Macaca mulatta: one gene and its partner. The main gene of each other region encodes a partner of the protein of the gene in region 2 in a complex. Links are inferred from orthologs where the notes say so. Each region holds a gene or a part of one and is shown on either strand. Other genes may lie near its edges. The genes, in order: DONSON and MCM7.

Region 1 (3,811 bases), about 34 Mb from region 2:
AAAATTTACTAAGTATTTGTACTCACGTAACATTGTTTTGATGTCTTGGGAAATAGTTTTGTTCCATAATTGTTAAAGAGAGGAAACCCCAAATGGAAATATATTGAACATATTTTTGGCTAGACAAAAGGTTGAGAGATGATCATAATTTTCCTTTTCTTTAAATTTTCATAAAGGCACGAAGTGTAAATGTGAAGACACAAGCTCTTTCTGGATACAGAGACCAGTTTAGTTTGGAGATTACAGGTCCTATCATGCCTCATTCTCTGCATTCACTGACCATGCTGCTCAAATCTTCACAGAGTGGGTCTTTCTCTGCAGTACTATATCCACACGAGCCAACTGCTGTATTTAACATCTGCCTGCCAGTGGACAAAGTACTTGATATGGTAAGAAAGACACCTATGAGCAGACTGTTTTAGTTGTTTAGCTGGAGGGAAGTGAGTCATTTATGCTGAGTCACTTTTGTGTTTCAAGTAATTAAACTGTTATTTAATTACGAATTACTAGAGGAAAGAATAGCTTTCATGAATTCAGTCCAAGTACAATTTTCTTTTTTTTTTTTTTTTTGAGACGATATCTTGCTGTTGCCCAGGTGGAGTGCAGCTACGCGATCTCGGCTCGCTGCAACCTCAGCCTCCTGGGTTCAAACAATTCTGCCTCAGCCTCCCAAGTAGCTGGGATTACAGGCATGTGCCACCATATCCGGCTATATTTTGTATCTTTATTAGAGACGGGGTTTCACCATATTGGCCAGGCTGGTCTTCAACTCCTGACTTTAGGTGATTCACCTGCCTCGGCCTCCCAAAGTGTTGGGATTACAGGCTTGAGCCATGGCGCCCGGGCTCAGTCCAAATACAGTTTTAACAGTGACTGAAGAACTTCGCATTTCAAAAAGGTACAACTTTTATTTTCATTTCCTCTTGGATCCAAAACTCAGTAGTACCTGATTCCTTTATAGTTTAAGGAAACATGATTCACTGTGGGTATTTATTTAACCATATTTGCCTTTAATTTTGAATATACTTAAGGTTTTTAGAGCTAGAATAATTAAGACCTTTAAAATTATCTCATGCATCTCAGTTGGCTAGACTTATAAAAATAACCATTAATGTTTTGGGATTTTGTCACTACAAAAATTCTTAGGATCAACTTCTGTTGATAGGATGAATCACGTGAATGAGACATTTGTCAGTCTCCATAGTAATTATTTGAAACTCTTTTGTGTTTAAAGATTGATGTGCTTTTTACTGACTTGTATACACATTTCCACAGGAGGTTGTTCATAAGGAGCTTACTAACTGTGGTTTGCACCCTAACACTCTGGAGCAACTTAGTCAAATACCATTACTTGGGAAATCATCTTTACGGAATGTGGTGCTGAGAGACTACATTTATAATTGGAGATCCTGAACACCAAAGTAAGCCTAAAAGGAATCTTTGAGGAAAAAAGCCTTCTAGCAAGGAAATTCAAGATTCTTGAAGTTGAAGGAATATACTGACATGTTATAAACATAACTTTTATTACAGTAGCATCTAAGGTTTTAAATCAGTGTTTTCTGCTTTTACTATTTTCAGATTAGATTTTTAGATACAAAGATGAAAAACTCAGATAACTCAAATGAGCTATCTGTATCCCTACAACCTAATTGTATATTGAGTAGAAACTGAATTAATGTTTCCTTGCAAATGGGAAATCACATAGCAGTTACCTCATGGCATTGTGACTAATGGCATCAGGGCAAAAATATGTTACTTTACCATTTACCTAAGACTGTTAGCAGGTTCTTGTTTCATAAAGGTAGAAAATAAATATAGATAACATCTACTGAGCTAGCTGATTGGTGATGCTTCTACCTTAATATCTTTCCTACTGATTTATAATTCCTTTATTTTCACATATACTAAAACTCTAATGCATGTTAATTCAGATAAAAAGGCATTTTGTATTCCACATAGAATAGTGTTAAGAATTGTGAAGTACACACTGAGCTGTCATGGCAAAGTAGTATTTAATGTGCTTATAGGGTGTGGGGGTGTGTGTGTGTGTGTGTGTGTGTGTTGTGTGTGTTGGGATTGTATAATTCACATTTTTAAAATAAAAGTGCTTAGAAATCAAAAGCATTGGGTAAAGAAATAATAGTATCTAAGTATTTGTTCACTTTATAATCCAGAAAATAAAACACCACGTTTATTCCAGAGAAGTTTGTATTTGGGCCTTAAGCTTTTGAAAATAAAGTTTAGAGACATAGCATATGAATACCACTGTAATACACATGAAATATTCTATCGGACCCTAAAAATTAACATAAACTTTAACTTTCTCATAGTCAACAAAATAGTGGCTGGTTGCCAATTTTATTAGATAAGTTGGTTACAGCATTTTAATTATCATTTTACGTCTATCTAGGTGTAGCTGAAATTCAAAATGCACATCAAAGTAAAACTATATCACAACTCAATGCCATACTAAATGTACTTGGCCTCTGCAATAGTAGAATTCTAGTCAGACTTCATTTTTTACTCCCTTCTTATGACCCAAGTGGCTTTAACAGGAATGCAGGACTTAGTGCTGATCATCACACAACATACCACTTTCTTTTTAGAACCTCTACAAAATTTTGAGGGGAGATTGTGGCAATAGCCCTGTGGAACAGATCTTGATCACCTCAATAACACTGGCCCAGTATCTGTCCAGCAGAACCCATTGTGAAATAGTACAAGGTGCACAGCCCTTCACTGATTACAGGCAAGTGTTACAGTAGCCTAGCCATAAGGAAGGGGAGTTACATCATAGTACAAAATACAGTATAAAAGCGTTATTTAACATTCCACACTGAAGATTACTCTGATGCCTTCAAACAATCGTTTGGATGTTAGCCACTTAAACAAATACATCACTAAGGTAAACAATATAAACATACCAAAACCCTGTATGGTTAAATACAATTTCCATGGTACAAAAATCAAAGCCTGGAGATGTTTTTACAGATTGCTTTTTACACAATGTCTTAAATTGCCAAATATTTACAACATTAAAGAGGAAATACATTGTGATGCAGAGTAAAATTATCTGAAATGATTATTATAAAACCTCAATCTATCTACGTGAGGCACTCCTGAAGCAAGTGGCATTAGCCATGAGGTCCTTTGGTACAAGGCCCATTGCTTGAAGAACCACAGTAGCTGCTGTGGCTTTAGCATGCTTCTTATTAGGGCTGGCAAAGCTGGGCTGGTAAGCGCTTCCATTTATCAATACCTATTCAAGAAAAACATACAATTGGGCTGGTAAGGGCTTCCATTTCTCAATACCTATTCAAGAAAAACATACAATAAGAACAGCATCAAACTTTAATATCTATTAGCTTTGTATTTTTCACTAAATGCTAGAAAAATAATTTACAAAAATATAAAACCCATACTATGTAAGTCAAATTATAATCTCAACCCAGAAGCAGCAAATCATTTGGGAAAAGGGACTGCAAATTAAAAGCAGGTCTCCAAATTGAGAAAAAGACTGATAAAAGTATTAAATTAATTCCCCACATTCAACTAGAAAATAACAAATTGTATACTATATTTTGCCCAATTTTTTCCAATTTTTTAAAAAATAGGACATTGACAAGTCATATGAAAGCACCCTTCAGTTTAAAAACCCCACCACTTAACTACAAATACAAATCCCCCACCCATGAACAGAACCTTAATCCTGTCATGTTTACCCCTCACCCTCTAAGTTATCACATTAATAAATATATACAATTAGTGCAGAAATTCATATTTACCCTAAAAAGAAAATGTTTGCGATGAT
Region 2 (4,530 bases):
GACTTCAGAGACACGAGTGACAATTCCACGCACAGTCACCAATTTCCCCACAGAGTCAGCCCGCACTTCCCGGATCACACGAGGCTTGTTGCTACTTGGGCCTTGAAAATACAGCTCACTAAGGGGAGAAAACAGTCACAAACAAGATCCTGGAGAACCAATCCCTACATACTTCCCAACAGAGACCACTCACAATCTGCGCATGAGTTCAGCAGGGTACTGGTTCTGGGGGCTTCGGGCTGTTCCAGGGTCCCGACTCCGCTGCTCCATCATCAGCCGATGCTCAATGTAAACGTCCAGGACATCTTTATTTACCACCTAAAGGAGAACAAAATAAACAAATAAATAAATAAACGAGCAACAGGATGGGGAAAGGAGAGCGCAGAGAACACGAGACTGAAGTGCCCCTTCTTTCTGCCTGCTCAGAAAACATCAGTATCTGAGCAGCCTCTCTACAGAAGCTTAAATGCCTTTCCCTTTGTTTGCCATTGTTCTCTAGCCACTCACTTCCCTCTCCTTGTACTGAGGCAGCAGCTCTTGTACGGAATCGGCAAAGAGCTTTGCGTAGCGCCTGGCATTCTCACAAATTGAGTCCACCAACTCGGGGTCATCCTCGGCTACGTCGTCCAGGTCCACATACAGAGCCACTTGTTCCCGATGAGCCAGCCGAACCTCAGGTGAGGAAGAGACAGAAACACCTCAAAGCCACATTCACCTTGTGCACCAGTGTTCATATGTGAAGATACATTACTGAGAACTCAGCACAGGCTCTGGGTATCCACAGGGGAGAACACAGCACCACTTAGAGAGATACTTGCTTCTCAGCCCCCAAACCCTCTAATTATTACCTCTTTAATAAAACCAGCCAAGCTACTTCTTATGGCTCCTTATGCACCCCACTTCCCCATTCCCTTTACCCAATCTTATACTTACCAACTGGTTCCCATACTTGAACTGCTTCTTCCCAAGTTCATCATCCTGGTAGAACTCTTGTAAGAACTTCTTAACCTTTTCTGTAACGTGAAATGTAAAATCATAAAACATAAACTTTAAGACACATCACTGCCCATCCCTCTGATAGAAATCTAAGATACCTATTTTCGCTTAAAACACAGCCTATGAACTAATAATATGAACATTTAAATAAACTACCGAATTCTCCCCAAAGTGGGCATAACTCTTTTGCACAGTCTGTTTTAACCAGCGAAGAATAAAGAGCCCGGGGCAGTGCACAGGGCGATCCAACATCTATTCCCCAGGGGAATTCCTGTCCCTACTTTAGTTTAAAATCCTAGCGCCGTTCCCCATTGGCCTCCCACACTCCGGCCTCAAGGTTCTCAGCTTTCTTTCCACCCCCATGATCCCCTGCCTTCTTTGGGTCCCCCGAGCCCCTTATCTCACCGAGACCTCCGCCACCAGGCAGGTCCCGCACCCCACCACCGCTCCCGCCAGCGCTTCCGCTCTTAGTAAACAAAGAAGCACATGGGCCCGGATTCCAGCCGCTTCACAGCCCGGGATTCCTCCGCCCGAGGCGGGAGCCAGTTCAGCCATTGGCCAGCACGCCCAGGGCCACTGCGATCCCAGCCCACTGCCGCCTTTCCCGGGCCCGAGCGAAGCTCCCGGATCCCAGGCACGCCCCCCCGGGTCGCAGCTCTCTCCGAGGCCGCCACGCGGAAGGACACTGTTTACACGACACTCCCTCCACCCGCGTCGCGCCACTTCCGCCCGGCTCCACTTCCGCTCGGAGGGCGGCCTCAAACGGCCAATCCCGGCACGCAGCGGCCCCGGCTTGCCCGCCCCCGGGGCCTCCGCGCGCCTCGGGGAGGCGGCGGGAACCTGGGAATATCCAAAAGCGCGGAGGGAAGCGGGTCCGGGGTCCAGAGCCCTTAAAGAGTCTCCTGAGGTCCTCGGCGCGACTCTTCCCTGTGCAGCCCCCAGCCGGGTAGCGCCCCCCAAGCCCCCCAACCCCACGACTCTATAACACCTTTCCCAAGTGGGATTACTACCTTTTCTTCAACGTCGATGCCCCTCGCGCGCCTTCCAGGTCCCGTGGGCCTTAGCCAGGCCGCAACCCGACCCTGCCTCTGGCGTCGCGCGCCCCAGAACCCGCTGACCCCGGTCCTCGAAAACCCCAGCTCACATCAACAGGTGTTCCCCGGGAGGCTCCCCGCGCAGGACGCCCTCCCAGGCTTGTAGACCCGTACCTTTCTCTAGCGCGTAGTCCTTCAGTGCCATCGCTGCCGAGGCCCGTGCGGCAGCTCTTGGCGGGCTCAGAGGTCTTGCTTCTGGGGAAGCTGAGAACGTCCGGGCGGTGGACTGTGGCCGGCCAACCGAAATTGGCGCGAAACGTCGCCCCCCACGTGACCAGCGCCACTGCGTGCGGGCCAATCGGAAAAGCCGGCCCTTTCTCCCTCCCGCTAGCCGCAAGCCAATCGCCGGGCGGGCCTCGAATGAGTGACGGGGAGGCGGTGCGGGAGTCGGAAGGGAATCTCCGGGCGGGGTGGGGCGGGCGCCGGGTTTCCCGCGGTCCAAGCTGGCGCGGGCGGAGGAGAATCGCTCTTAAAGGGCCAGCGCACGCGCGTTCTTTTGTTCCGGGGCCTCAGGGCGGGGCAGGCCCAACTTTCGCCGTCTTCTTGTCTGCTCTCCAGGACGGCCATGATTTCCCAGTTCTTCATTCTGTCCTCCAAGGGGGACCCGCTCATCTACAAAGACTGTATCCTAGACCCTCGGGGCTGGGAAGGGGCGGAGGGACCGGGCGGGAGGGGCGCCCAGGGCCAGCCCGTGTCGCAGGATCCTTCACTGAGTCCTTCCACCCGCCAGTCCGCGGGGACAGTGGCGGCCGGGATGTGGCCGAGCTCTTCTACCGGAAGCTGACGGGACTGCCAGGAGACGAGTCCCCGGTTGTCATGGTAACCACTGGCGGGAGGCGGGTGAGGAGCTGGGCCCGGGCGGGCCGGGTGGGCGCCGTCTCCCTCCCAGGACTGGTTCCATGGTAGCTTCCACTTGGGGGTTGTATTTCTCCAAGTAAAACTAACAAGAGGCCCGGCGCGGTGGCTCACGCCTGTAATCCCAGCACTTTGGGAGGCCGAGGAGGGCGGATCACCTGAGGTCAGGAGTTCGAAACCATTCTGACCAACATGCTGAAACTCCGCATCTACTAAAAATACGAAAAAAAAATTAGCTGGGCGTGGTGCGGGCGCCTGTAATCCCATCTACTCGGGAAGCTGAGGCAGGAGAATCGCTTGAACCGAGGAGGCAGAGGTTGCAGTGAGCCGAGATCCGGACACCGCACCCAGCCTGGGTGACAGAGCGAGACTCCGTCTCGGGGTAATGGGGGTGGGGGAAAAAAAAAAACGTCCATTGGGCGCCAGCAACACACCAGGCCCAGCTCCCTGCGTGACTCCATTATCAGCAACTTGGGGTAGTTACTATAATTAACCCCGTTTCCACATGGGAAGCTGGGCTCAGGGATCTGTCATGTATCTCCCAAACTAGTAAGAGGCATCGGGATCCCAGCTCAGGTCTCCTGGGTTCTGATTACTCCACCTCCCTTTTCCTAACCCCTCTTCTCCCTGCCTGTGTTTCAGCATCATGATGGCCGTCATTTCATTCACATCAGACACAGCAGCCTGTATTTGGTGGTCACAACTTCAGAAAACGTTTCTCCCTTCAGCCTCCTAGAACTGCTCTCCAGGTGAGGAGGGTTGGGCTGGGCACCTGCTAGCTGGCAGGGTTCTCAGAGGAGGAGGAAATACACGCTCCAAGTGTTTCCTCAGGTTGGCCACTCTTCTGGGCGATTACTGTGGCTCCCTGGGCGAGGGGACCATCTCCCGCAATGTGGCTCTGGTCTACGAACTCCTGGATGAAGTGCTGGTGAGAATCAATGATCCCCTTCTGTGGCCCCCACCTAATTCCCCTGGAGATACATCTGCTCTTCTACTGTGGGATGCTGTGGTTAGGCCAAGTCTATTTTTTTTTTCCTTTTAGAGACGGTCTTGCTCTGTTGCCCAGGCTGGAGTGCAGTGGTGCAATTATAGCTCACTGCAGCCTGGAACTCCTGGGCTCAAGCTATTCTCCTGCCTCAGCCTCCTCCCCTGTGTCCAGCTCATTGTTTATTTTTTGTAGAGACGGGAGTCTCGCTCTGTTGCCCAGGCTGGTCTTGAACTCGTGGTCTCAAACCATTCTCCTATGTCTCGGCCTTCCAAAGACCTGGGAGTACAAGAGTGTGCCACCATGCCTGGCCCCACTCCCCCTTTTTACCCCTTCCCTCCACTGACCACTCGGACTGTCCTTCCTTTACCACTAGGACTATGGCTATGTACAGACCACATCCACAGAGATGCTGAGGAATTTCATCCAGACGGAAGCTGTGGTCAGCAAGCCCTTCAGCCTCTTTGACCTCAGCAGCGTTGGCTTGGTCAGCAGAGGGAAAGAGGAGGGTGAGGAAGGAGAAGAGGGGTTGGCTGGGGTTGTCAGACCTGATGATTGATTGCTTTGGATGCTTTACAGTTTGGGGCTGAGACACAACAG

The links.
Region 1: MCM7 (region 2) and DONSON share a complex: the UniProt entries of both Homo sapiens proteins name them as parts of the replisome complex. The link is inferred for Macaca mulatta from reciprocal best matches to the Homo sapiens genes MCM7 and DONSON.

What each region holds. Positions count from the first base shown.
Region 1 is NC_133408.1:13,806,886-13,810,696, forward strand, and holds part of DONSON (protein downstream neighbor of Son), read left to right. Parts: intron 1-176; coding exon 177-389; intron 390-1,275; coding exon 1,276-1,413; 3' UTR 1,414-1,421; exon of another isoform or gene 1,422-2,121; intron 2,122-2,190; exon of another isoform or gene 2,191-3,100; coding exon of another isoform or gene 3,101-3,312; intron 3,313-3,785; coding exon of another isoform or gene 3,786-3,811. Other genes in the region: protein SON, read right to left, coding at 3,101-3,259, 3,786-3,811. UniProt on the Homo sapiens protein: Replisome component that maintains genome stability by protecting stalled or damaged replication forks.
Region 2 is NC_133408.1:47,406,882-47,411,411, forward strand, and holds the start of MCM7 (DNA replication licensing factor MCM7), read right to left. Parts: upstream 2,941-4,530; 5' UTR 2,931-2,940; coding exon of another isoform or gene 2,821-2,930; 5' UTR 2,714-2,820; coding exon of another isoform or gene 2,656-2,713; 5' UTR 2,236-2,655; coding exon 2,205-2,235; exon of another isoform or gene 1,153-2,204; intron 1,014-1,152; coding exon 934-1,013; intron 673-933; coding exon 508-672; intron 319-507; coding exon 194-318; intron 119-193; coding exon 1-118. Other genes in the region: AP4M1 (AP-4 complex subunit mu-1), read left to right, coding at 2,656-2,713, 2,821-2,930, 3,588-3,694, 3,777-3,873, 4,307-4,417, 4,510-4,530. UniProt on the Homo sapiens protein: Acts as a component of the MCM2-7 complex (MCM complex) which is the replicative helicase essential for 'once per cell cycle' DNA replication initiation and elongation in eukaryotic cells.